Mus musculus: one gene and its partners. The protein of the gene in region 1 interacts with the protein of each later gene in a pairwise test. Links are inferred from orthologs where the notes say so. Each region holds a gene or a part of one and is shown in the gene's direction. Other genes may lie near its edges. The genes, in order: Exoc1, Trim9, Trio, Sfr1, Traf3ip1, Ccser2 and Kif5a.

Region 1 (3,500 bases):
ATTCCACCAATGGGTGAAGCTGTCTGGTCAGTGAACTCCAGGGATCTGCCTGTCTCTGCTTCCCCACTGCTTGCTATGTGAGCTCTAGAAATTAAACAAGATTGGACTTGTGTCCTCCACGTACTAGGAAACACTTTACCAACAGAGCTGTTTCCTCAGCTCTGTAATGAATAATTTTTAGTATATTTATTGGTTATTTGTACTTGTGTGTGTGTGCTTGCATATTTGTATATATGGGTAGTATCTTGTGTGTGTGTGTGTGTGTGTGTGTGTATATATATATATACTGGTTTCTCTGATTTTATTTCCAAACTTGAAGCCCCATGCTTTTATGTTGTAGATGATTAATATATTTATGTATTAAGAATGTATCGTTCAAGTCATAAATGGAACACTTTATGAGGGAGGGCAGTGGTTTTGAGAATTATTCTAAATGTTTTTCAGCTGAGAAAAGATGACAGCAATCAAGCATGCGCTGCAGAGAGATATCTTCACACCAAATGATGAACGCCTGCTGAGCATCGTGAATGTCTGCAAAGCTGGCAAGAAGAAGAAGAACTGTTTTCTGTGTGCCACAGGTAGGTGGTTATTAAGCAAAAATATGTACTTGATACCTTCCTTAGGTCATACTCTCATTGTTTCTATAACTGGGAGAGTTATTGGGCTGATAAGTTAATTTTAATTGTTAATATTGATTGCTGGATGCTGTAAGAGAATTTTTATAGTGTATGTCTAAGGTGGCTGACAAGGGAAAAGGAGGACTCCGGGTGCGCAGTGTAGGGTGACAACAGCTCTTCTTTACCCCATTCCTTTCTGCTCTCCAGTGGTCAGTGTCTGGGATCCTGCATCTTACCACATTCCCCATGTGTAATTTCCATTTACTTGTCTTTAAACGTTTAATAAATTGAATTAAAATTCCTTGTGACCCTTCCCATTCAGCAGTAGATTCATGAGAATTTCGTTTTATTCTGGAGTTTTTATTGTTTTGTTTTTGAGACATGATTTCACTCTGTATTTCCAGCTGGCCTGGAGTTTATATTGCTCCACCCGCCTACGCAGTCTGCTAGCACAGCTGGCCATGAGTTGAATCTGTTCTTACACAAGGCTCTAACACCATCATAGTCACTGCCATGGCAAGCTCCGCTGTGAGTGTCCCATGGTCCCCATACCCACCCCACCAGGGTGAGCAGTAGGTTTGTGCCTGAGCTTTGCTGTTTAAACAACTCGTCTGTGAATGTGTTTGTGCTTGTCTTGTGCTTACACACCAAAATTATTTTAAGGCAGATTCTTGGATGTGGATTCTGCTCTAATATGCAGTTATTTTTAAAAGGGATGCTTTTCATTCCCACAGCAGTGTGGTTGGTTACCTTGTGTTCTCTACACCCTAATCAACAGTTGCTTCTGACAGACTAGTTGTCAGGATGGCAGCGTGACATAGTATCTGCCTGTGGTTTTGAAATGCACTTTCCTGATTAATGATGGGGTTGAGTGTCCTCTGTGAAGTGACTGGCCGTTTACTTGAGTAATGTATGGTTTCCTATTGGATTGATGGTCATTACCCAGATTTGTATAGTTGTTCTTAATTATGATTATCTGGGTAGGTATTATAAGATAGATCTATTAGCTGCATAGATATTTCTATTATGTGGTTGTATACTTTCTGTTTTGTGGCTTATCTTTACACTTTTTGTGGTTACTCTTAATGAAATTTAATTATCATTAAATAAAATTACTTTGATGCTTTATGGTTTTTACTGCATTATTTTGTAAAGGTTTTGATTCACTTGTGTCTTAGAGAGTGTTGTGTATTTGTATCTGTCTGTCTGTCTGTGTGTGAATGAATGAGCACATGTTTGTATTTCACGATTTTTTTTCTTAAATCTCATTTTGTTTTACTTTGTTCTTTACTCTTTCATCTTAATTTTAGAATCAACTTCTTAAGTTCCAGATTCTGTTGTGTTTTGATTGGGATTGTTTTTAAGCTATCTTTTAAGTTGTAGGGAACTTGCATTTTTATTAATGATGATTATGCCCATAAACATGTTTATTTTCTGCTTTTATAAGCCTTGCTGTTTTCTTTAAAAGTTTCTTCCTTTGGTCTGTGTGTTGTTACCAGTTATAATGTAACTTGATGAAACAAAATGGTACGTTTTATAAATGCCCTGTTTGCCAGTATACTGGTTTAAAATTTTGCATTCATGTTCCTCATTTATGTGTAGTTTTCTTCTCGATACCTTCGGCTGGTTAGCCATAGTTATTAAATAAGCCAGTACATGCCCCTGGTGTCCTCACTAGAATAGTTGTGTGTTTGGAGTTATTCTCTTCTTGCAAACTTGGCAGGAGAAGCAGGTAGCAGTGCTGGACTAGTGTGGGAGGTGGGGTGACGGCACAGTTTTGCCCAGCAAGTGTAGTTTAGTGCGTATCTTCCCCAAATATTCTTTAGTCCAGTGGTTCTCAACCTTCCTAGTGCTGCTACCCTTTAACACAGTTCCTCATGCTGTGGTGACCCCAAACATAACATTTTTGTTGCTGCTTCATAGCTGTAATTTTGTTTTCTGTAATATCTGTTTTCAGATGGTCTTAGGTGGCCCCTGTGAAAAGGCCTTTCAGCCCCCAGGTTGTGGACCTCTGCTTTAGTCCATTTGGGTATATTAAAATTTCTAAGAGAGTATTTGGGGGTTTGTTGTTTGTTTGTTCATTGTTGTTTGGAAAGCCATTTGCTTTTCAAATGTATCAGCATTTATTTCAAATCTAAACTCCATTCTTACGCCAGAGTTGTATTTTGGAACCTAGAGCCTGTAATTTCTCCAATAGCATCCCTTGCTGCCTCCGCTGGAGCCCTCGAAGAGCTGAGCATCCACCCTTTGTGGTAACTTCATTCCTATCCACCGCATATTACGCCGTGCTGTCTGTGTTGAATACTTCCTGTTGCTCTTCGTGAAGGCATTAGGCTCTTTCAGGACTCTCAGACTTATGCATATCAGTCACTAGATCTCTGTTCTTACACTCTGTAAGAGAGGCCTGAAGCTTTACCTCTCGGGCATCTCTCAGCCTCCAGCTCTCTAGTCTGGTTTAGATGCTTCCTTTAGGACTCTGTAACGGCCTCGGCTGACTTTTCACAAAGCATTGCCTTACTTCAGTGTTGCCGTCCAGGTTCCCAAGAGCCACATTTAGAGTGTGTGCAGGAAGAATGAGTCGGGGACTGATAGGCTAACAGTCGTGTCTGTGTGCTTTGTTCAACAGTGACCACTGAACGCCCCGTGCAGGTGAAGGTGGTCAAAGTCAAGAAATCCGACAAGGGAGATTTCTACAAAAGGCAGATTGCTTGGGCCCTGCGAGACCTTGCTGTGGTCGACGCCAAAGATGCCATCAAAGTAAGTTTTCCACAGTCCTTTGCTTGTGTTCAGGAAGAGTCTTTCTTGTTCCATAGAGCAGTGTGTGTCCTGAGATGGTCTAAGCTTGTTCTGTGGCTGCAGGTCTGCCCCCTGCTAGTCTAAAAT
Region 2 (3,500 bases), on another chromosome or scaffold:
CACACACACACACACACTGACAGAGAGACAGAGACAGAGAGAGCTTTCTTCCTCTCTTACACTCACGGATTGCCTTCTACTTACCCCACCCAGTCTTTCTGCACTTTCACTCCTGGAAGCTCCCATGCTGGGACCCCCTAAAGGAGCATCATTCTGGGTACTGAAGCCCATGTCAGCCCTGCTGAAGAGGAGAACCTGTGCAAAGCAAGCCATAAACCCCACAAGATGAGATTTTCTTCCAGTCACTAGCCAAGGGCCCACTAGCTTCCAAGAGCAAAGACTATGAAGGCTGCCACCTCCTGACTGGTTTTCTTCTGTTAGATATACGTACTTTCAATAGGAGGTGTCTTCTACAGTTCTCCTCAAGACTCTCTCCCATCTCTTGTTTCCTTTTCTTGGCCTTTCTTTTCTTATTATTGGGTTTGTTTGTTTGTTTGTTTGTTTTCTTTTCTTTCTTTTTTCTTTTGTCCTTGTTTTCCTCATTCCCTGAAATCGCTTCTTCTTTCATCATGTCTGGTTATCACCTCAGGTTATTGCCTTTCCAAGATCTCTCGTTCTCCTGCCACCTGCCTTACCACCACTCATGCTGAGAACTTCCCTATCTGTCTTCAGCTCCATATCTTTTCTGATAGTCGGCCGGATTTCTACCTGTGGAGAATTTTCCACTTTGACACTTTGAAACTAGCCTAAACTTAACGTTTAAACTAAGCCACTCATTTTCTCACAGCTAAATTTCTTTTCCAGCTGCCCTTTCACAGACATTACACTCAAACTCAGAGCTCCAGCTGCCTCCTCTCTCCTTAGGGCTCAGGATTAAATGAAGTCAGCTCCTGGCCCCTTCTAGTCAACTGAGGCTCTCAGATGGTCCCTTCTACTTAATCCATGGCCACCATAAGAAGGGGTCACTCAGCACTGGCTTCATCCTGGGACTTGTTAAAAAAATGCAAAATCTCAGACCCTACCTCAGGGACCTGCAGGAACAAAAACTGTATTGTGGTACGATTCATAGGTGATTCACGTGCACAAATGTTCAGAATCTCTGAATGGAATAGTGTCACATGCAGGTTTCCCTACCTGCTGCAGCAGGACTGAGTTAGTCCATGGCTAATCCAGGACCACAGCAAAGAGCTGTGTTTTGAAATGTCGATGCTTTTACTCATTACATCAGGCATGCCTTTGCAAAGAGTAGGGCTGAGGAGGGAAGCAAGTCCCCAGCCTGCTTGGAAAGTGCATTATGCGAGGCTTTATTTTAAGCCTCTGAAATGTCATTCTGCCTTCCTCCCCCTACCCGCCATACTGTGGTGCAAACCTCCATGCCTATGGCTGGCTTTGAGGCTAATCCTTGTGTCGGTTGGAAACACAGCTTATAGACTACCCTCATGTTTTTATGTTTTTCAAAAATGCATTTTATAAGCCACACTGATGGATAAAGGTGTTACATTCTCTATAAACACCAAGTATAAGCATAACCTTGGCCACAAACTCCCAATTACGGCCTTTTAAATCCTAGCTGCTGGTCACGGTTAAGCTACTGAGCCCTTTTAAACTATAATAACTACATATATAAAGTCAGATTGCCCTCATGCCCATCTTGAAAAACAGGTATTAATGTCTCCGTTTTATGGATTAGGTAACTGAGGCTGTACGCAATAAAGTGAGCAGCCCAACAACTCATAGATTCAGGTCTGGATTAGGCAGATACCAAAACTGTGTTCCTAACTTACTTTCCTGGTGATTATAAGAACAATGAAGGAAATAAGGATCCCTCGTGGGAATCCCTGCCAATTAAACTACTTATGACCCTTCATTATTGGTTTCAGGTAGCTAAAGCCTGCCTAGGTGAAGTTTTTTTTTTTTTTTTTTTTTTTTTTTTTTACTGTGGATGGCTATATATGAGACCTTGGCTCCTAAAGAGTTGTCTAAGATATCTGGAAAAAAGAGGGGCAAGAGTTAGCATACGAAATGTTTGTGGGTGCAGAGGAATGGCTCAGCAGCTCAGCTAAGGTTGACTAAGAAAGCTCTAATGAAAGTGTCTAGCTGGGCGGTAGTGGCGAAAGCATTTAATCCCAGCACTTGGGAGGCAGAGGCAGGTGGATTTCTGAGTTCGAGGCCAGCCTGGTCTACAGAGTGAGTTCCAAGATAGCCAGGGCTATACAGAGAAACCCTGTCTCGAAAAACCAAAAAAAAAAAAAAAAAAAAAGAAAAGAAAAGAAAAAGAAAGAAAAAAGAAAAGAAAAAGAAAGAAAAAAGAAAAGAAAAAGAAAGAAAAAAGAAAAGAAAAAGAAAGAAAAAAGAAAAGAAAAAGAAAGAAAAGAAAAGAGTCAGCTGCAGTCCCGGAAGCATAGAGGTGCCTGTCTATGGGAGGCACAAATACCAAAGGCTCTGCTAATATGTAACGAAATTGGTGGAACCTTTTGAGGCGTTTACTGCTCGGCTGACAGAGGCAGTAGAAAGAATGGATCCTAACTCTGAGTCAAAACATACTGTTTTAAAACAACTGACCTTTGAGAATGCTACACCCACTTGTCAATCTCTTCTAAGGACATTAAAAATATCTGAAAATATTTTTTTTATTTTATTAATGTGCTGAGGCTGCTCCTTCATATCTTCAAGGTGTGGCCATTGCAGCCGCCTTACAAGGTCAGACCACTACTCCAGTGTCTTACTAATCAAAGAAAAGAAAATTTTAATCAGGTAGGCGTGGCCCACAAATGCTATTCATGTGACAAGCCTGGGACATTTCGGCCAACAGTATCCCAGCGGAGCAAGGCTGTGGGCCGTCTCTCCAGCGAGCTCACTTGCCCTCTGCAGCTCTTCCTGCATGGCATCTGCCACCTAACCACTGGGCATCACTTCCTTCCCTGTTCCTCACGAGGCGGCTCACCTTGAATGGTGTTCTGTTTTCTGTTGGCAGGAAGTGTATGTTGGAAAAGAAACAATGTGCACAGTGGACGGCCTTCACTTCAACAGCACATACAACGCTCGGGTTAAGGCCTTCAACAAAACAGGAGTCAGCCCCTACAGCAAGACACTGGTCCTCCAGACGTCTGAGGGTAAGGCCCTTCAGCAGTATCCCTCAGAGCGGGAACTACGTGGCGTCTAACGTGGCTGGCAGCCTGGAGGTAACCCCGTCAGTACCACATCCCTCAAGTTTTTTCCATGACTTGCACTGTCTCCGGCCCCAGAGCCGCTGTGTCCCTCTCCTGCCTTTAGAAGGCCCCGTGAGATGCGGATGAGAGACCCCACAGCAGCAGTTCCAATGGCTTCCTTTGCTACCACTCTAAGCTACAGTGGAAGAAGCTGAACGTGCAAGCCTGAATGTGCCCCCGGTGTCTAAGATGGAGGTTCCTAGGCTCTAGAGCAGGCTCCCCTTCTCCACCAAGCCACCCCGGTGGCTGCTTTTGCCCACATGATTCTCCGTGTCTTTATAGCTCTTGCTTGCTCCTGCCGGGGCTGGAACTTAGATTCTTCCCAGCTGTAGATCTGTATGACTTGAACGT
Region 3 (2,850 bases), on another chromosome or scaffold:
GAGGTTCTCCAGGATCTGAAGGTAGAAACTGCATGGTGAGGGCAAGACTCTCTGGAGCCATCCCTTTCACCTCATTCAGGAGTCAGGAAGTCCAGGGTCTGACCGGTCCCAGCATCAGAAGTGGAGCTGCCGTTGGGGGCCAGGGGTGGGGTGAGGAGGGAATGGCAATGCAATGGCTGAACCATCATATCCTTTCCACACGACCCAGCAAAGACGTCACCATCCCACGGACATGGCCCCGTGTAATCTCTTCATGATGGGTTTTACAGGGGCAGGTTTGCTGTAGTTAAGAAATGTGACCAGAAGGGAACCAAACGAGCAGTGGCCACAAAGTTTGTGAACAAGAAGTTGATGAAGCGTGACCAGGTCACTCATGAGCTCGGCATCCTGCAGAACCTGCAGCACCCCCTCCTCGTGAGCCTTCTTGACACCTTCGAGACCCCCACCAGTTACGTCCTGGTTCTGGAAATGTGCGTACTCAGCCTTCCTTTTCCCTGCCTTCCCTCACCTTGGCTCCCGGCACTTTTGCTGATCCCAATTGTTCTCTGAGAAAAAGAAATGGGCTCTGAGCTTTTAGCATTCGTAGGAGTTCTACAGACATAGGTTCGTCGTTAGAGACTACTGTTTTGGAAACTCTGGTCGCGGCAAAACCATTTGAGTGTTGGGAATCAAACCTGGGTCCTGCAAGAATAACTAGTGCTTTTAATGAGGGAGCCATCGCTCCAGCTCCTCATCCTCGATGTCTTTAAATGCACAGCTATTGGCGGACTGTCAGGAGCTAGAACGGTGCAGTATGTGTGGAAAGCCACCACCGTCTGAGCCCACATGCCTTGGAGGCTGTCTGGCTAAGCTTGATGGCAAGCAGCTACTGCCCACCTTCCCCAGGGATTCTGAACAAGTAAACTCACTTACGTCCTTGTCAGAAGTCACCACAGCCTTGGTCTAAAGTGGCACCTCTTTCAACTGTAAAATAAGCACATTCCCTTCAACATTCCTGGACCATCCACTGTGAATCTACAGTTGGGCCCAGTGCCTTATATATCCTGGCAAGGACCAGATCACCGGCCACACCCCCAGGTGCCCTGTTCTTATTTCTTTTTATTAGAAAGTTGCATAATGTATCTCTGGGCAACTTTTACATTGCATGGCAAAACGCCATCACCAAGACATTGTATAGAAGAAATCATTGAACTTAATGATTCACCATTCCATGGTGTTAGAGTCCATGACCACCACAGGTGGAAGCATGATGACAGGCAGGCCAGCATGGAGCACTTCCATCTGTCCGATCCATAAGCACAAGGAAGGGTGAGGTGGGGGGCTGCTAAGGGGTAGTGGTGTGGGCTTTTGAAACTTCAGTGCCCATCCTCAGTGACACACCTCCAACAAGGCCACACCTCCTAATCCTCCACCAAACAGTTCGACCTCCTAGAGAGCAGGCATTCAAATATATAAGTATATGGAGGACATTCTCAGCTAACCACCCTGGTGCAGCCTCATCAGACTATTAACAGAATTAATTTTCACTAGAGCAGGTCAAAATTTCTCAGTAATGACCATTCCTTGCTGGGCAGGTGGTCTGTCTTCCTATAAACTTCTCTTCTGAGAACAGCGGGTGTGCAGAGCGGTCTCCACCCAGTAACAGCTGTTCATGAGCCATGAAACCTTAGAAAATGTGTGTGCTTTCTCGGCCTCTGCTTCCTCATCTTTGAAACAGGAAAATGACACACCCAAGGTCGGATGAATAGACACTACTAAAGTTTAGGCTTAGAACTTTGTACTTTTTTAATATTAAAAGTTAGTTCAGATTAGGGTAGCTTTGACTAAGCATGAATCTATTGCCCTAGCATGTGGCTTTTTACAGCATGACCTCATCTGTCTCCATGTGGCGTGCTTTATATGTCAGGAAGGAGGTGTAGGCTAAGTGAAGTGGGTATGCCTTCCTTATTCCAGCAGTTATCTACATCCGTGCATAGACACTGCCCAGCAGCTTGCCATAGCAACAGACAACAGGGTTGCAGTTCCTGGCTGCAGCTCTCCCCCAGCCATTACCCACTTGGATCATCTCAGTGAGGGGGCCAGAACCCCCTCCCTGTACCATGGCATGCAGTGGAGGTACAGTCCTGAGACCATGGGGTTGATGTCTCCCTAAAATGGCCTGTGACTTGAAAGGCATCATGAGAACTGTTCTTCTTACCTTGTAGGGCTGACCAAGGTCGCCTCCTTGACTGTGTGGTCCGGTGGGGAAGCCTCACCGAAGGGAAGGTCAGAGCGCACCTGGGGGAAGTTCTGGAAGCCGTCCGATACCTTCACAACTGCAGGATAGCACACCTGGACCTAAAGGTTGGCAGGCCCGGGGCTGAGCAAGGACAGGTCTAGATAGGTCACATGGGATGCTAGAGCCTTGCTCCCTGCCTGAGCCTGGAGGCAGCTGGGGAGAGGAGGACACTGGGGCAAATTCTCTTTCCCTGAGTTGCCTTCAGTAAACTCAACCAGGAAGTACTGGTAGTTCAATCTGTTGGGTCAGGAGATGTTTAGGAAGCTCCTGTCAGTGCTGCCAAGTTGGCATGGAATCTACCCACTTGAGGGTGCCTTGGGAAGAGGAGACAGTGTTGAGCTAGGCTATTTGGACCCTAAAGCTGAGAGCCACTCCTAGGGGGCTGTTCCTCTCCAGCTTGTTCCCTCACTGGTCCAAAGAACTTCCTTTGGGTGACAGTTGTGTGGCTAACTTCTGCCTCTCCAGAGGATCCTGACAGTGGTCAGATTGAGCATGGATTAGGGATGTTTGCCAATGACGGTGTCTCCTCCTACATTCTAGCCTGAGAATATCTTGGTGGATCAGAGTTTGGC
Region 4 (4,280 bases), on another chromosome or scaffold:
AAAATCCGTGCTTTTGGGAAAGGTAAGGGATAAAAGCTTGTGAGACATTGCTTTAAGTCAATTAGGGAATGACGAATATGCTTGACTAAATGTTCCTTTGGTGTTTTGCATGATTCTAGCTGCCTCTCATACATTATCATTGAATTTCCCTGTCTCTAGGAGGTGAATATTGTTCTCATTTACCAAGCCATCGAACTGAGGTCCACGGCCACACTACACTCCATTGCACAAAACAAAAACAAACCAAAGAAGAAACCGTGGTGCCAGGACTCTAATCTAGGCAATTGCAACATCTGCAGATCTAATCACCTCATTAAGTTCCTTTAGGTTCTGTATTTATTAACTGACCGCCTAGGAGTCTAATCAGTTCTTTCGGGTTACTTTAAAGCCACTATTAGCAGATATTCGGAAAGAGAGCTGTCCCTTATTACAAACTTCCCAGTGACTCACAAGTTAGCTCAACTTCTCTACACCCACGGCTCCACCCAAGCTAGTTCATTTTGCTGTTGCATAGCAACAGAACATCCTGAACACTAGAAGGCCGTGCAGCCTCCCAGAGTCTAGCAAGGGGCCTCCTGGGGGCCCCCAGAGCCTAGCAAGGGGGCATCCCGGGAGTCGAGCCAGGGTCTAGCAAGGGGCCTCCCGGGGGCCCCCCAGAGTCTAGCAAGGGGCACCCCCAGGAGTCGAGCCAGGGTCTAGCAAGGGGCCTCGGGGGGGGGGGGGCAGGATCAAGCAAGGGGTTTAGTTCTCAAATATCTGAATTCTAGTCCGAACCTGTCGGATCGACCGCGCCCCGCTTCCTGTTCTGCGCCATAATACACTTCCTTAGGTTATTTTTTTCTCAGATTTGACCAAAACATGTGAAGCCAAGCAGAGGTGGGCACAGACCAAAATAAGGGGGCGAGTCCGCAAGGCAGGCTGGGGATGCCCTCTACTGTTTATGCAGAGACACCCACATAGACTCCGAGCCAGCAGGGAGCCGAGCGGGCCCCGCGGTTTCCGGCCCTGCCACGTCTGAGGAAAAGCCTTTGCGGTGGGGAAAGCCGAGCCTGCCAGGGGGCGAGCGCTGCCAGAGGGCGGTGCTCTCGGGCGCGCCACCCTGACGATACCCACCCCGCCCCCAACCCCACCAGGGAAGCTGCTCGGGAAGGCAGCTGGCACCGCAACTCCCAAAGGCAGTGGCGAGCGGAAGCGCGCCCCCCTCAGGCCCCTCCAAGGGCCTAACATCGTTTTTTCCATGGACGCCACCCCACGGCTGGCGGCCGCGCGCGCGTAGCCGAGCCCTGGAGCGCGCCGGCCAGCCCTGCCAATCACGAGCCGCGCCCGCCTCCCGCCAGGCCCCGCTCCGCCCCGTGGCCCAGGCCCGCGGCCCGCCGCGCACGCGCAGTCGGAGCTGTACGGAGCACATCCGCCTGCTCCGGCCAAGCTAGCCAATCGTACGTCTCTTCTCCGGTGAGGCTCCGCCCCCGGGGCGAGGTCAGTGGGCTGCGGGCGCTCCGCTGGCTGTGTGTACGGTGTGTCGCCGCTGTGAGCATGGCTGAGGAAGGTACTGAGCTTTCTCCCTGGGGTTGGCCTGAGCGGCAGGCCTGCGGGTGTCTGGGTATCTGACGGAGAAGCTCTCTCCGGCGTCGCGGGAGCTCGGCCTCCTGCTCTGTGGGATAGAGGGCTTTCTGTGGCGAGGGAGGCGGAGGAGTGGAGGAGGAGGGCTACGGGGTTGCTGAAGAGAAGGGAGCTGGGGGGAGCGCGCTTTCTGTGGTGGGGGGACGGGGTGGGGAAAGGGGGAGCTGAGTGGGGTGCGGGGACGGGGGGAGGGCTTTCTGTGGTGAGGAGGGAGGGGAAAGGGGGAGGGAGAGTGGGCGGGGCTTTGTGGAGAAGATGGACGGGGCTGGGGAGGAGGGCGGAGTCTTTGACCATAGTAAACCCAAAGGGGCAGATGCTGCTTTCTGACACCTCGGGACTCGTTCTTGGTTCTAGGCGCAAAGCTTTTAAGAGTCAAGATTCAGGCTGTATTGCTTTTATTTACGAAATTATAACAAAAATTAAAGTTCTTGACTAGTTATAGTTCCCCTTCCTGAAACGCAAATTTTTGGGGGTGTTTTGAAGGGAAAAAAAGAAAGACAGTGAGATACTAGCTGGTTTATTTGTCGTGAAAGAAACAGGACTTGGTTACTTCCCCATGTGGAGAGGTAAATGGAAAATATGAGAAGAATTAGAATAAATTATAGCTACATGTAATTGGAAGAAATGGCTGACTATTTTTGGTGTTTAGTTCACTGAAGAAAATTTTGTTCAGAAAAATTGAGGTCTGTTTTGAGATAATTTGATTATCATTCGCGTCTTTTCTTTTTGATAAGGAAATCAGGAGTTCACTTCCAAGATGGAAAACTCATCAGATTCAGCATCGACTTCACCTGATGCTCCTCAGCCCAGTGAGAATCCACCATCACCACCGACTTCACCTGCCGCTCCTCAGACCAGTGAGAATCCACCATCACCACCGACTTCACCTGCCGTTCCTCAGACCAGGGAGAATCCACCATCACCACCGACTTCACCTGCCGCTCCTCAGCCCAGGGAGAATCCACCATCACCACCGACTTCACCTGCCGCTCCTCAGCCCAGGGAGAATCCACCATCACCCCCGACTTCACCTGCCGCTCCTCAGCCCAGGGAGAATCCACCATCACCCCATTCGAATAGTTCAGGAAAACAAGTATGGATATCTGTGTTGTCCTCTATCCCCCACCCCCATCTGTTCTGTTCCAGAGTATTCTGATAGTGCCAGTTTTAAGGCTACTGGAGTGTGAATTAATATGTAGCTCATACCTTTCTAACTGCCAAGATTTTCTTCTTGAATCGGTTCATTTTGTTTAATTTCTTATGAGGTTACTGCGATGCTCCAAACCAAGGAAACTTGAATCTGTACAGTATTTCTTAGGGGGAAGTCTTTGGTAGCAGGTCTTCTCCTTAGTTTATAGTTCTGAAGCATTTCTAGTATTATCAGGCAAATACTAGCTGCCAGTGGCAGGCGAAGTGTCTCAGTCCTATTTTAGTTAACCTTGCTAAAGTAAGACTATAGGTAGCCTCTGGATATTAGAGACATTGGTGATGCTCGCATGAGATTTGTGGAAACAGAAAGCCATCCATTGTACCTATCGTAGAAGCATATAGCCTTTATTTTTAATAGATTGACTTACTACAAGAATGTATCCTTAACATTTTTGATGTTTGTGTCTTTTTCAGCCTCTGAGTGGAACACCTAAAGAAAGGTTAAAGAAAGCAAGATCTTCATCTCATTCATTTTGTAGTGTGGTGAAGCGTATGAAGGTAGAGAATGACGAAAATAATGAGACCCTTTCAGAACCAGGAGAATCTTCAAAGGAAGAAAATTGTTCAAAGGCCCAAGAAAGCTTGAAAAACAAAGACAGTGAGCCTGGAGAAAAGAGCTCAGAGGAGAAAAACACGTGTGAATCTAAGTCGTCGGATACTGGGTCATCTAATGCCCTCCCAAAGGAGTCTGAGAATGCGATCATTAGAGAAAAATTAAAACAAGAAAAAATAAGATTGATTAGGCAGGTTGAAGAGAAGGAAGACCTTCTTCGGAGGTTAAAGTTAGTCAAGATGTATAGAATAAAGGTGAGAAGAATCTTAGAACCGTTACATCATTTTTACATAAACTGCGGTAGTTTCTAAATTGGAGATACATTTTAGTTTGATAAACAATCAGCCAGATAACCAGAAACCCGGGTTACAAGAGCTTTGACTGAAATAGAAGTAGTTGGTTCAGAGTGAGGCTGAGGAACCCCTTCAACACGAGGTAAAACTTAAAAGCTTAGGGTTTTGTTTAATGCACAGGTGGAGCGTTTTGGCCTTAATTTCTAGCCAGTAGCAAGATGAGAAGTGAGAGGTGTTCCATGAAGATGCAGGGGGACAGAGCACGATGGTGTTAGAACTAAAAGTGGACCACAGAATGCAAGGTGCTGTACTTTCAGTAACGATCCTGCATAAATGTCAGGCATTTTATTTGGGAAAACAGATTTTAGGTTTCAGCTTACACACGTTGAGTAAAATAGAACATGGATGTCTAGAAGGAGACATTTATTATCTTTGTAGTTCTTACCCAGGTAACACCTCATTTTATCCCAAAACTGGAGTAAGTGACAGAATAGCATGTCTTATATGTGATTTTGAATTTTTAGGACTTTTCTAAATGTAACTGAATAAAATGTTGAAAATACTTTAAACTTGAATATTTTTACCTTTAAGAAGTTTGCGGTACA
Region 5 (3,500 bases), on another chromosome or scaffold:
GAGACGGAGAGCGAGAGAAAGCCCGAGCACGGGCCAAGGACAGGGACAGAAACAACAGAGACCGGGACAGAGAGGCAGAAAGGGACAGGGAGAGGGACAGGAGGAGCGAGGGCGGGAAAGAAAAAGAGAGGGTGAAGGACCGAGACCGAGACCGTGACAAGGGAAGAGACCGGGAACGGCGGAAATCGAAGAATGGAGAACATACCCGGGATCCTGACAGGGAGAAAAGCAGAGATGCAGACAAGCCAGAGAAAAAGGCATGGTCACTATCAAGACGCCCTTTTCTTCTTTCAGATTTATTTATTCATTATTCTTATGTTTATGTGTGTGCTTGAATGAATGTGCGTGCACCATGTATGTGCAGGAGGCCCTGGGGGCTAGAAGAGAGCTTCACATCCATCCTCTGGTGCTGGGGTTAGAGGAGGTCCTGAGCTACTGTGTGGATGCTGGGAACCGAGCCCAGGCTCTCTGCAGGAGCAGCCAGTACTCCTAACCCTGAGCCATCCCTCTAGCTCCGATGCCTGTTCATGGAGAGTGTGCTGTGCTCTGTAAAACAGCATCTGCCCTGCCTTTGCTTTTTAAAATACTTTTTATTTTTAATTTTTCTCTATTTGTGTGTATGTGCAAATGTATGTCATGTGTGCTAGAGACACACAGGTGATTATGACTTGCCTGATGTGGGGTGCCGAGAACTGAACTCTGCTTTACAGGAGTTAGCAGGGACTCTCAACCACAGCGCTCTCTCTCCAGCTCCTGAACCTGTTGTCTTACTTAGGGTTTCTGTTGCTCTGATGAAACACCATGACCAAAATGCAAGTTGAGGACAAAAGAGTTTATTTGGCTTACATTTCCAGATCATAGTCCATCATTGGGGGAAGTTAGGACAGGAACTTAAGCAGGGCAGGAACTGATGCAGAGACCATGGAAGGATGCTGCTTACTGGCTTGCTTCCCATGGCTCCCTCAGTCTGCTTTTTTTTTTTTTTTTCTTCTTTATTTTGGTTTTTTGAGACATGATTTCTCTGCGTAGCCCTGGCTGTCCTGGAACTCACTTTGTAGACCAGTCTGGCCTCGAACTCAGAAATCCGCCTGTGCCTGCCTCTGCCTCCTGAGTGCTGGGATTAAAGGCGTGGGCCACCATGCCTGGCCAGTCTGCTTTCTTATAGAACCCAGGTGCCCAGGGAGACCACTGCCTACAATGGGCTGGGCCCTCCAGCATTGATCACTAATTGAAAAAATGTCTTATAGCTGGGTCTCATGGAGGCATGTTCTCAACTGAGGCTCATTCCTCTCTGATGACTCTAACTTGTGCCAAGTTGACACACAAAACCAGCCAGGACATCTGTCATCCTTATAATAGGCTTTGGAAAACTTGGAATTGTGAACTGTGGCTGTGTTTGATTTCTTGACATAATCCAAAGAGGTACCAGTTTCTTGCCAGGTGTCTGTTTGAAAAAACTTATTTATTTATACTATAATTGTTGTTACATGTGTGTACATGAAGTATGTATAGATGTGTGTATGTGCATGCCACAGTACGGAGGCCAGAGTTGGTTCTCTCCTAGCCTTTAGGCTACATTCTGAAGATTAAACTCAAATTGCTGGGTTTGCATGAAAAATGCTATTACTTACTGAACCATCTCATTGGCCCAGTTCTTAAAAACTTCCAATGTTTTTGTCACTTACTAATAGTAGCACAACCATTTAACTCAGTATTCTTCAGTCAGTTTTCAAACATATTTAAAATATCCCTAAGCACACACTCTGGGTGGTACTTATGTTCACTCTTGAGTTCCTGGCCTAATAGAGAACTGGCACATAGAAGGTATGCAGTAGACATTAGATGAAACAGAGAACCAAACATCCAGGCAAAGGATGGTGGCGTTTCAGGTCTCAGGTCTTTGGATGGTGTTGATCAGTTGGTAGTAGCTATGAAGTGTTTGGAGTGCTAGAAGACAATTCCAGAGAGGAGGCCAGGTAAATACTGCTGTCAGATGTCTTCTGTCCTCAGAGGTTGACAGTTCCCTGCCAGGCCTGTAGAGAAAGTAGCTGGGAGCAGGAGCTGTCATTGGTGCCTTGCTCTGTCTTGCTAGATCATTCAAAGGCCCTTCACCTGCTGTCATTTGTGCATGTGTCCTATCCCATGTACACAGCTGGCATCAGCTGTATGTGTGGGCTCCTCGGAGCCTGGACAGGACTGAGCTTAGTAAGAATTAGAGCTACTTTCAAAGGTCTTAACACATTCTAAGTGTCAGAAGACTTATTTTCCTGTAATTCCTGCACAATGGCATTTCAGGTAAAATTAAGGTTGGCCAGGGATTCCTTTGGCTTCTTTCTCATTGCTTCCTTAGTCTGGTGACTTTGGGACCAGCCCTGTGTATGGGTTGCACACCAGTCACTTTTCCCATTGCTGTGACAAATCCCTGACAAGAAACAGTTTCCAGGAAGGTTTTCCTTTGGCTTGTAGTGCCAGGGTCTAGTCTGCTCTAGTAGAGAGGACATGACAGCACGCCCTAGAGACTTGGTTGAAAAGCAGCTCACCTTTTCCTTCATTCATTCTCTTTCTGGGACCCCAGCCCATGAAGCACTGCCCGCCATAGTTGGTATGTCTTCCCAGTTCTGTTAAGTCTAGATAATCCTCATTGCATGTCCAGAGGTCCCTTTTCCAGGTAACTCTAGAGCCCAGTGGAGATCAGCCATCCTAGGTCCCGACTCCTTTTCCAGATAACCTGTATGTACAGAGCATCCTAGAGGGGACTGAGAGCTACCTGATCTGCAGCTGCTGGCCAGAGGACAGTCAAGATCTGGGCTGGTTCTAAGCCCGTCTGTGGCAGTATCTTGCTGTGGGTTGCATCTCAGTGTGGTTGTTAGCAAGAGGAGTGGGCTCTGTAGGTTCAGCCATGTTGGCATTCTGTCACTTCTTGTCTGTGGCATGGTGCAGTAAGATTGCTGTGGTCTCATTGGTAGTTGTGTTTAGCATTCTGCCGGGCACTTGGGTGTTTGCTATTTAAGTCACATTTTAACCTCCCCAACACATCCCAGGGTATTGTCCTCAGGGTCATAATGTACCTGTGTCACAGTAACCTGGGTTCCTTCCTGAGTTTTGGGAATCATCTATATCTTATCATTGCCTCTTTTTAGTGGCCTAAGAAAATAGTTTTCCTTGAGCTGTGTTTTTAGAGGCACTAGTGTATTCTGGTGTATTTTAGCTCTGAGGCAGTCCCTCATAGGGACAGCCTTCCTCAGGTCTGACTCCAGAGCAAGCCTCTCCACGACGTGCTCACTGGAGCTGCTGATGCTGTGAATGGTTCACAGAGAAAGGCAGTTCCAGAGAGGGCGGTTTACATAAGAACCAAGTGCAAGGGATGGTTTTGTTTCAAAGGAATGGCCACCACAGTCAAGTGACGTCCGGTTTACTGAGGTCTCCTTATGGTTTTGTCTGGCTGGCTCTTCTGTTGTTGATCTGGGGGTACCTTTATTGAGCTCTGTGGGTCTGGGAAA
Region 6 (3,500 bases), on another chromosome or scaffold:
ATTCTGTCAAGTTTTAAGAACCAATGCACCTTATAGCCCATGGAAGAAAAAACACAAATCAAGACATTTTTGGGTTCCAAGCTGCCGAAATATGGAATGAAATCTGTGAGAAGTACATTGCAGCCGATGCCAAATGGCGCCACTGTGACTTTATTAGGGACCTCCAAGAGTAGTAATGTCAAAAGTTACATAAAAAATAATGGCTCTGATTGTTCATTGTCCCATTCATTTAATTGGAGAAAAACAAATAAATATCAACTTGGTTCACAAAATACAGCAGAACTTAATAATATTCAAAGTACACATGATAAACTAATTGAGCCTGAACAACATGCACCTGCTCCAGGAACGCTGGATGGGCATGGGATAAAGGGAGGTTTGAAAAGTGCTTCCTTGTTCACATCCAAGTTAGCAAGACCATCAACCATGTTTGTGTCATCGGCAGAGGAGTTAAGTCAAAAATCTTTCTCTGGACCATCTAATTTGGGTAAATTTACCAAAGGCACATTACTAGGAAGGACTTCATATTCTTCGGTCAATGCGAAGTCACATTTGAATGCGTTTTATGGGAACAGATCTTCTGGTAACGTGCAGAAGCCAAGAGTGAACTCCTGTGCCAGCAGAAGTAGTTCTGGAGAAAGCTTAGCACAGTCCCCAGACAATGCTAAATCTATCACTTGTGAAAAAATGGTAAGGTCACAAAGTTTTTCACATTCCATTCAGAATGTCTTCCTTCCACCTTCATCTATAACCAGATCGCATTCCTTCAACAGAGCTGTAGACCTTACAAAGCCTTATCAGAACCAACAGCTCCCCGTTCGAGTGCCTCTCCGGTCAGGTATGCTAACAAGAAGTTCTCTGCAGTCAGAAGTACTCAATGGGAACGAACATGTGGGGTTTGGTTTTAATAGGCCTTATGCTGCTGCTGGAAAGAAACTGGCCTTATCCAATGGCCCCGCTGTCTCGTCCACGTTGGTTTATAGGATGGCTCATCCCCCTCTACTGAAATCTAGCCGACCTCCATTTTCTGGGCCCATGACAGTTGACAGTAATAAAAACCCACCTGCTGACATGTGCGTAGAGGAAGAAGGTATGGTTTCAGCCCAGGACAGCTCTCCGGGTAAGGACCAAGAACTAATTGAAAATGAAAGTTACCGAAGAGACAATGACCAGACTGGGAAGAACGAGTCTAAAGTTAGGTACCTGAGCGATGACGTGGATGATATTTCCTTGTCGTCCTTGTCGTCTTCCGACAAGAATGATTTAAGTGAAGATTTCAGCGATGATTTCATAGACTTAGAGGACTCCAACAGAACTAGAATAACGCCAGAGGAAATGACTCTCAAAGAAGAAAAGCATGAGAGCAGACCATCAAAGGATATATTTGATTCTCCTAAGGAAAGTGAGCAGGCCTTCAGTAAAGCTGAAGAGTGGATAGATATAAGTGTCTCTGGTAAATATGGCTATCCTTAACTTCCGTGCTTTCCCTGGTGATTACAGCAGAGCTAACATTTAGCCTTGCCTTGATAGACTGTAAGACGCTGTTTGACTGAGGCGGCTCAGGCTGGAGGAGAGCGCAGCAGAGCAGCAACCTTGCGGCTTGTTTCCATCTTGCATTATTTTCTAGGATAGAATCAGTTAAACTCTTTATACTTTGCCTTTTTGGGAGCTGTCTTATACATGCCAAGTCCTGCATTGTGTAGGCCATGGTTTCCAGACAGTTTTCCCAACTCTGCCTGGGAGTGGCTTGCCACTAAACGCTAAACCACACCATTCGCCGTAGCCATCATTGCAGTCTGCTAGGAGTCAAGCTATATCAAACACAAGTCAGATAACATAAGCCTGTTTAGTTGAAAGCTTTCTATCCTCGGGAACAGTTCTGTTTAGCAGTCCTTATGTGGTACTACTCACTGAAGCATTATTTACTGACGGTACCGAGGAGGGAGAGTGAATGCCTATTAGACTTGGCTATATTGGAACTTAGTGCAGGATGAATGTCATTTGTTCATCTACCCAGAAAAAGAAGCCCAAAGGGAGTGCACAAAGGCATGTCTAGTCAAGGGACTGGCTCACTCATAGTGATGCACTAAACTGTCTTCAGGCATTATAAACTGGAAGATGCCTAGAACAAGTTGTCTTTTAAGGACATATCTGTGAGATTAAGTAGTCTGTAGAGAGGAAGAGAGTTTCCTAAACAGTGGTTAAAATGAAATAAATACCTTAAGAAATAGTAAAGGAATGTGAAGATGTAAAAAAATGAGTGAATTTTATGTTTATTACAAAATGTTTTAGTGGCTTATTTTGAAAACTTTGCCTCCCCCCCAAAAAAAAGTTTATTTAGTATTTAGGAAAATGCTACAGTTATAGTTTTTGAACCAAATGCTGTTATAATAGATTGGATTATTAGAGCTTATATTTTAGAAATGAGAAATGACTGTGTTTTATAAATTCACGCTTTTTTCTTTCTTTTAAAATCATTTGAAGACAGGAGTGAATGTACAAAGCATACATCTGGAAACAACTTGATTTCACCGGATACGGATTACAGAGCTGGGTCTTCATTTGAACTCTCTCCGTCCGATAGCTCTGATGGAACGTACATGTGGGATGAAGAGGGCCTGGAGCCCATTGGGAGTGTCCATCCTGTTGGCAGCTATGAGTCCTCTGAAATGAACAGCATAGTATGTATGGATTTCTCTACCCTTTGGGAGATTTCTTTTTATTTCTTTATACAAACACATACAAATACACACATACATAATTTATTATAAAGGCATTAGTGTATTGGTTAAGTTAAGCTAAGAACGTGACATCTACAACACTTTTAGTTGCTGTATTGAGAAGTGCCCCTTGGTGAAGGGGTGTCAGGGATGGTGCTTAACATGCGCTTCCTACAGAAAGAGTGGTGGACTGATGGACCAGTTGATCCAGGACCAAGTATCTGGGTAGGCTGTGCTGATGGACTACCTACCATTCTGTCGCCAGTCCAGTGTGCCTTTAATACAGTGGGAGGTTTTGGCTTTTATTCTTAACAAAGTCTTTTGTAGGTCTGGGCGACTCTCTAGGACAGCTGCCTATAATGACCTAAGCTGCTTTGGCTTTGGGTTTGACCTTGTCTTTGAAGCCCTTATTACCAAGACAGAAGGAGACAGGACTGTCAGTCACACCCTTGCAGTATCTAATTTGGCCTGCAAGTGGCTCTGGTGTTTTCATTCACACTTGAAAATCAGTTTGTCTGTGGTCCCACATAAGTACTAAGGGGATAGGAAAATAATCTCCCTGTGTCTGGAAAGAGGGAACTACAAGTGCCACCACATATTAATGCATAGTTCTTTTATAAAACATTACAAGCAACTTAGATACAGACACGCTAATAAAATGCAACTGGTGTGGTTAAAATGGCTCAGGGTAATTATTTAGGTTATGAAATAGAAATACTCACAAATCAAATTGGTTTATAAATATATAACATTCTAACTGGCTTTCAGGCAGCAAAGCTT
Region 7 (3,500 bases), on another chromosome or scaffold:
CACACCATATCACCAAGGACTGCCTGGAGTCTCACCTTTGTTTTTCTCTCTGCTCAGGGCGAAGACCATCAAGAACACTGCCTCAGTGAATCTGGAGCTGACTGCTGAGCAGTGGAAGAAGAAGTATGAGAAGGAGAAGGAGAAGACCAAGGCCCAGAAGGAGACAATTGCGAAGCTAGAGGCTGAGCTTAGCCGGTGGCGCAATGGTTAGAGCGGGATCCTATGGGAGTGAGGGACAGTGGCTTCGGGACAGCCCTGTCTAGGAGTGTTTAAGGCCAGCAACCTCTGGAAGCAAGGCTGTGGGAACGGAGCCTGAGGGCCTGGAGATCCTGGCTCTGGGGAGTTGCCAGGGTGGACTCAGGCCACTTGCCCTGTTGCTGTGGCATGACACCTAGCTATAGCAATTCAGGGATGAAAGTGTCTACGCTGGCTCACAGTCTGAGAGTACAGGGAAAGGTGTGGTGGCAGGAGCAAGAGGCAGCTGCAGTCAGGAAGCTGCCCACATTTAAGGTGGATCTGCCTGGTGCTGTCCACATTTAAGGTGGATCTGCCTGGTGCTGCCCACATTTAAGGTGGATCTACACAGTGCTGCCCACATTTAAGGTGGATCTGCTCACTTGAACTAACTCAGTCTGGAAACTCCCTCTTAGACATCCAGAGGTTTGTCGCATAGGTGACGCTAGATACTGTTGCTAGATACTGTGGGGTTGATGATTTTAACATCCACACGGTCTTTCCTCTCCTGTCCGTCTGTCAGGAGAGAATGTGCCTGAGACTGAGCGCCTGGCTGGAGAGGACTCAGCTCTGGGAGCTGAGCTCTGCGAGGAGACCCCTGTGAATGACAACTCATCCATTGTGGTACGCATCGCACCTGAGGAAAGGCAGAAATATGAGGAAGAGATCCGCCGTCTCTACAAGCAGCTTGATGACAAGGTGAGTTCGCATTGTGTAGGGAGCTGAAGGCTGACATGCGAGGTCACAGAGTTTGGGCCAGTGAGACAGCAGGAACAGGCATTTGCTGCCAGGCCTGATGACCTGAGTTGCATCCAGGGTCCCACTTGGTGAGAGGAGAGAAGTGACGCCCACAAGTGCTTCTGACTTCCCTGTGCGCACACCACTCAAGTCCACGCACACTGTAGCTGGTCTAAAAGTTGGTTTGTACAACCATTATGATGTGGAAAGTGAGTTTTAAAAATAAAAGAACATGAAAAATACTGGTCATTATCACGTAGAGACAACACTTAATGTTTAACCCCTCTTCGGGTATCGTGCAGCTGAGGTATATATACAGTTGGAGTCATTTGCACCTAGTAGCTTTCTTTTAGATGGTCTCACATTTTAGGTGAGCCTCAAACTCTTGATTCTCCTGCCTCAGCCTCCTTGGTGCTGGGGTTACCAGTGCGGCCACCCTGATGGACTCCAGTCTTTTAGGTAGCATTACATTACAAGTGGTTTTCCGCCCCATTAACAGTTCTTCATAAACATGTCTGTTTGGAGCTAGTTCACTTGGTGGAGTGCCTGCCTGGAATGCACAAAGCTTTGGTTCAGTCTCCAGCAGCGTGTAATGCCAGGCACATTACATGGGGGCACACGCCTGTAATCCTAGCACTGGGAGCTAGCTCAAGGCAATCCTCAGATACATAAGAAGTTTGAGGCCAGCCTGGACACCCTGTCTGGAAAAAAAAATTCAAATAGATATCCAGTCCATTTTCCAAAGTGGATTTGGTTATTATGCATAAGCTTTCCGGCTGGAGAGACGGCTTGGCGGTTAAGAACACTGGCTGCTTTCCCAGAGGACCTGGGTTGGACTCCCAGCACCTACATGGCACTAGCAACCATCTGTAATTCCAGTTTCAGGGGATCTGATGCTCTCTTCTGGATCTGCAGGCAACAGGCACACATGGGTACACAGACACATACGCACAAGAAATACCCATACACATAAAATAATAAAATTAAAATATTTTAAAAGATTTACACACACATCATATGATGATGCAGGTGTGCTGTTCCTACCTATAATCCCAGCACCTAGAAGGTTGAGGTAGGAAGATTGGGAATTTGAGGCCAACCTGGGATACATAGTTCTAGGCCAGCCTGGGCTACATGGTGAGACTGAGTCTTAACACATATACACACCATGATCCTGGCCAAGGTTCCACTTGTCTGTATTTATTTATTTGGTTGAGGCAGGGGGATCAAGAGTTGCAGGTTATTTGCAGCCACATTGTGAGACCAGCCTTAGCTACACGAGACTCTGTCTCAGAAAGTACCCACAAGCTGGGCAACACTTAATATTTAATGGTGGTGCATGCCTTTAATCCTGGCACTTGGGAGGCAGAGGCAGGTGGATTCTGAGTTTGAGGCCAGCCTGGTCTACAGAGTGAGTTCCAGGACAGACAGGCCTACACAGAGAAACCCTGTCTCAAAAAACCAAAATAAAATAAAATACCCACAAGTTTTAAAGTTTTAATTTGTTTTTTCTTTCTTTCTTTTTTTTTAAATAACTTTTTAAAAAAGATTTATTTATGTAAGTATACCATTGCTGTCTTCAAACACACCAGAAGAGGGCATCGGATCCTATTACAGATGGTTGTGAGCCACCATGTGGTTGCTGGGAATTGAACTCAGGACCTCTGGCAGAGCAGTCAGTGCTCTTAACCACAAAGCCATCTCTCCAGCCCTATTTTGATTTTTCTGCTTTTAAATGATTTGGCTATATGGGAGTGGTAATAGGAGAGATCCAGGCCAGAGGGTATGGATGTGTAAACTTTAGCTGTGTGGTGTCAAGGTTGTCCCAGACAGACTGAAAGGGTGCTGCCACCCCCTAGGGAAACAGGGCAAAGGCCTCCTTTCTATGTGTGAGCTTTCCGACTCGGGATTTTAGGGGTTCTGGCTTCTCCCTCCCATCCCAGCACCCTAAACTGGGAGAAGTAGCCGCTCACATCCCCTCTCATCTCTGACAGGATGATGAGATCAACCAGCAGAGCCAGCTCATTGAGAAGCTGAAGCAGCAGATGCTGGACCAGGAAGAGGTAACGGTCAGAGTGAGGGATGGTCTCCATCCCTGCCAATCAAGCAACACTCCTTTAACCCAGGGCCAGAGCTGCTGACGATGCAGCTCTGTTGGTAGTGTGTGAGCGTGCCATGCATGAAGCCCTGGGGTTGGTCCCTAGCAGAGCATAAAACAGTGGCGGTGGCATAGACCTGGCATCTGGTGCACACTTGTGATCAGGATAGAAGTGCAGGCCATTCTTGGCTACAAACCTTGGGTACATGAAGCTTTATCTAAAACAGACGTAATGACCAGCCGGGTTGCTCTTAAGTCCAGGTGACAGAGCCCCGTGCTTTTCCATTCCGGTTAACGAAGCCTGGAGCTCTCTGCCCCTTGACGTGTACTCCAAGCGTGTGCCGGGTTGGGGTGTTGGAACTTCGCGCACACAGACAGTGCGCGGTCTCGAATACCCTGCCTCTTCTCCGAAGCTGCTCGTGTCCACTCG

What was found.
Region 2: the proteins of Exoc1 (region 1) and Trim9 interact in a two-hybrid assay, tested with the Homo sapiens proteins (2 studies listed by BioGRID and IntAct). The link is inferred for Mus musculus from reciprocal best matches to the Homo sapiens genes EXOC1 and TRIM9.
Region 3: the proteins of Exoc1 (region 1) and Trio interact in a two-hybrid assay, tested with the Homo sapiens proteins (2 studies listed by BioGRID and IntAct). The link is inferred for Mus musculus from reciprocal best matches to the Homo sapiens genes EXOC1 and TRIO.
Region 4: the proteins of Exoc1 (region 1) and Sfr1 interact in a two-hybrid assay, tested with the Homo sapiens proteins (2 studies listed by BioGRID and IntAct). The link is inferred for Mus musculus from reciprocal best matches to the Homo sapiens genes EXOC1 and SFR1.
Region 5: the proteins of Exoc1 (region 1) and Traf3ip1 interact in a two-hybrid assay, tested with the Homo sapiens proteins (2 studies listed by BioGRID and IntAct). The link is inferred for Mus musculus from reciprocal best matches to the Homo sapiens genes EXOC1 and TRAF3IP1.
Region 6: the proteins of Exoc1 (region 1) and Ccser2 interact in a two-hybrid assay, tested with the Homo sapiens proteins (2 studies listed by BioGRID and IntAct). The link is inferred for Mus musculus from reciprocal best matches to the Homo sapiens genes EXOC1 and CCSER2.
Region 7: the proteins of Exoc1 (region 1) and Kif5a interact in a two-hybrid assay, tested with the Homo sapiens proteins (2 studies listed by BioGRID and IntAct). The link is inferred for Mus musculus from reciprocal best matches to the Homo sapiens genes EXOC1 and KIF5A.

Annotation. Positions count from the first base shown.
Region 1 is NC_000071.6:76,532,311-76,535,810, forward strand, and holds part of Exoc1 (exocyst complex component 1), read left to right. Parts: intron 1-444; 5' UTR 445-454; coding exon 455-578; intron 579-3,243; coding exon 3,244-3,374; intron 3,375-3,500.
Region 2 is NC_000078.6:70,267,615-70,271,114, reverse strand, and holds part of Trim9 (E3 ubiquitin-protein ligase TRIM9), read left to right. Parts: intron 1-2,914; coding exon 2,915-3,053; intron 3,054-3,500. UniProt on the Homo sapiens protein: E3 ubiquitin-protein ligase which ubiquitinates itself in cooperation with an E2 enzyme UBE2D2/UBC4 and serves as a targeting signal for proteasomal degradation.
Region 3 is NC_000081.6:27,732,999-27,735,848, reverse strand, and holds part of Trio (triple functional domain protein), read left to right. Parts: intron 1-269; coding exon 270-470; intron 471-2,204; coding exon 2,205-2,343; intron 2,344-2,818; coding exon 2,819-2,850. UniProt on the Homo sapiens protein: Guanine nucleotide exchange factor (GEF) for RHOA and RAC1 GTPases. Involved in coordinating actin remodeling, which is necessary for cell migration and growth. Plays a key role in the regulation of neurite outgrowth and lamellipodia formation.
Region 4 is NC_000085.6:47,730,276-47,734,555, forward strand, and holds the start of Sfr1 (swi5-dependent recombination DNA repair protein 1 homolog), read left to right. Parts: upstream 1-1,480; 5' UTR 1,481-1,533; coding exon 1,534-1,546; intron 1,547-2,354; coding exon 2,355-2,713; intron 2,714-3,243; coding exon 3,244-3,636; intron 3,637-4,280. UniProt on the Homo sapiens protein: Component of the SWI5-SFR1 complex, a complex required for double-strand break repair via homologous recombination. Acts as a transcriptional modulator for ESR1.
Region 5 is NC_000067.6:91,501,168-91,504,667, forward strand, and holds part of Traf3ip1 (TRAF3-interacting protein 1), read left to right. Parts: coding exon 1-257; intron 258-3,500.
Region 6 is NC_000080.6:36,937,765-36,941,264, reverse strand, and holds part of Ccser2 (serine-rich coiled-coil domain-containing protein 2), read left to right. Parts: 5' UTR 1-39; coding exon 40-1,453; intron 1,454-2,484; coding exon 2,485-2,681; intron 2,682-3,500. UniProt on the Homo sapiens protein: Microtubule-binding protein which might play a role in microtubule bundling.
Region 7 is NC_000076.6:127,239,364-127,242,863, reverse strand, and holds part of Kif5a (kinesin heavy chain), read left to right. Parts: intron 1-57; coding exon 58-206; intron 207-757; coding exon 758-933; intron 934-2,966; coding exon 2,967-3,035; intron 3,036-3,483; coding exon 3,484-3,500. UniProt on the Homo sapiens protein: Microtubule-dependent motor required for slow axonal transport of neurofilament proteins (NFH, NFM and NFL). Can induce formation of neurite-like membrane protrusions in non-neuronal cells in a ZFYVE27-dependent manner.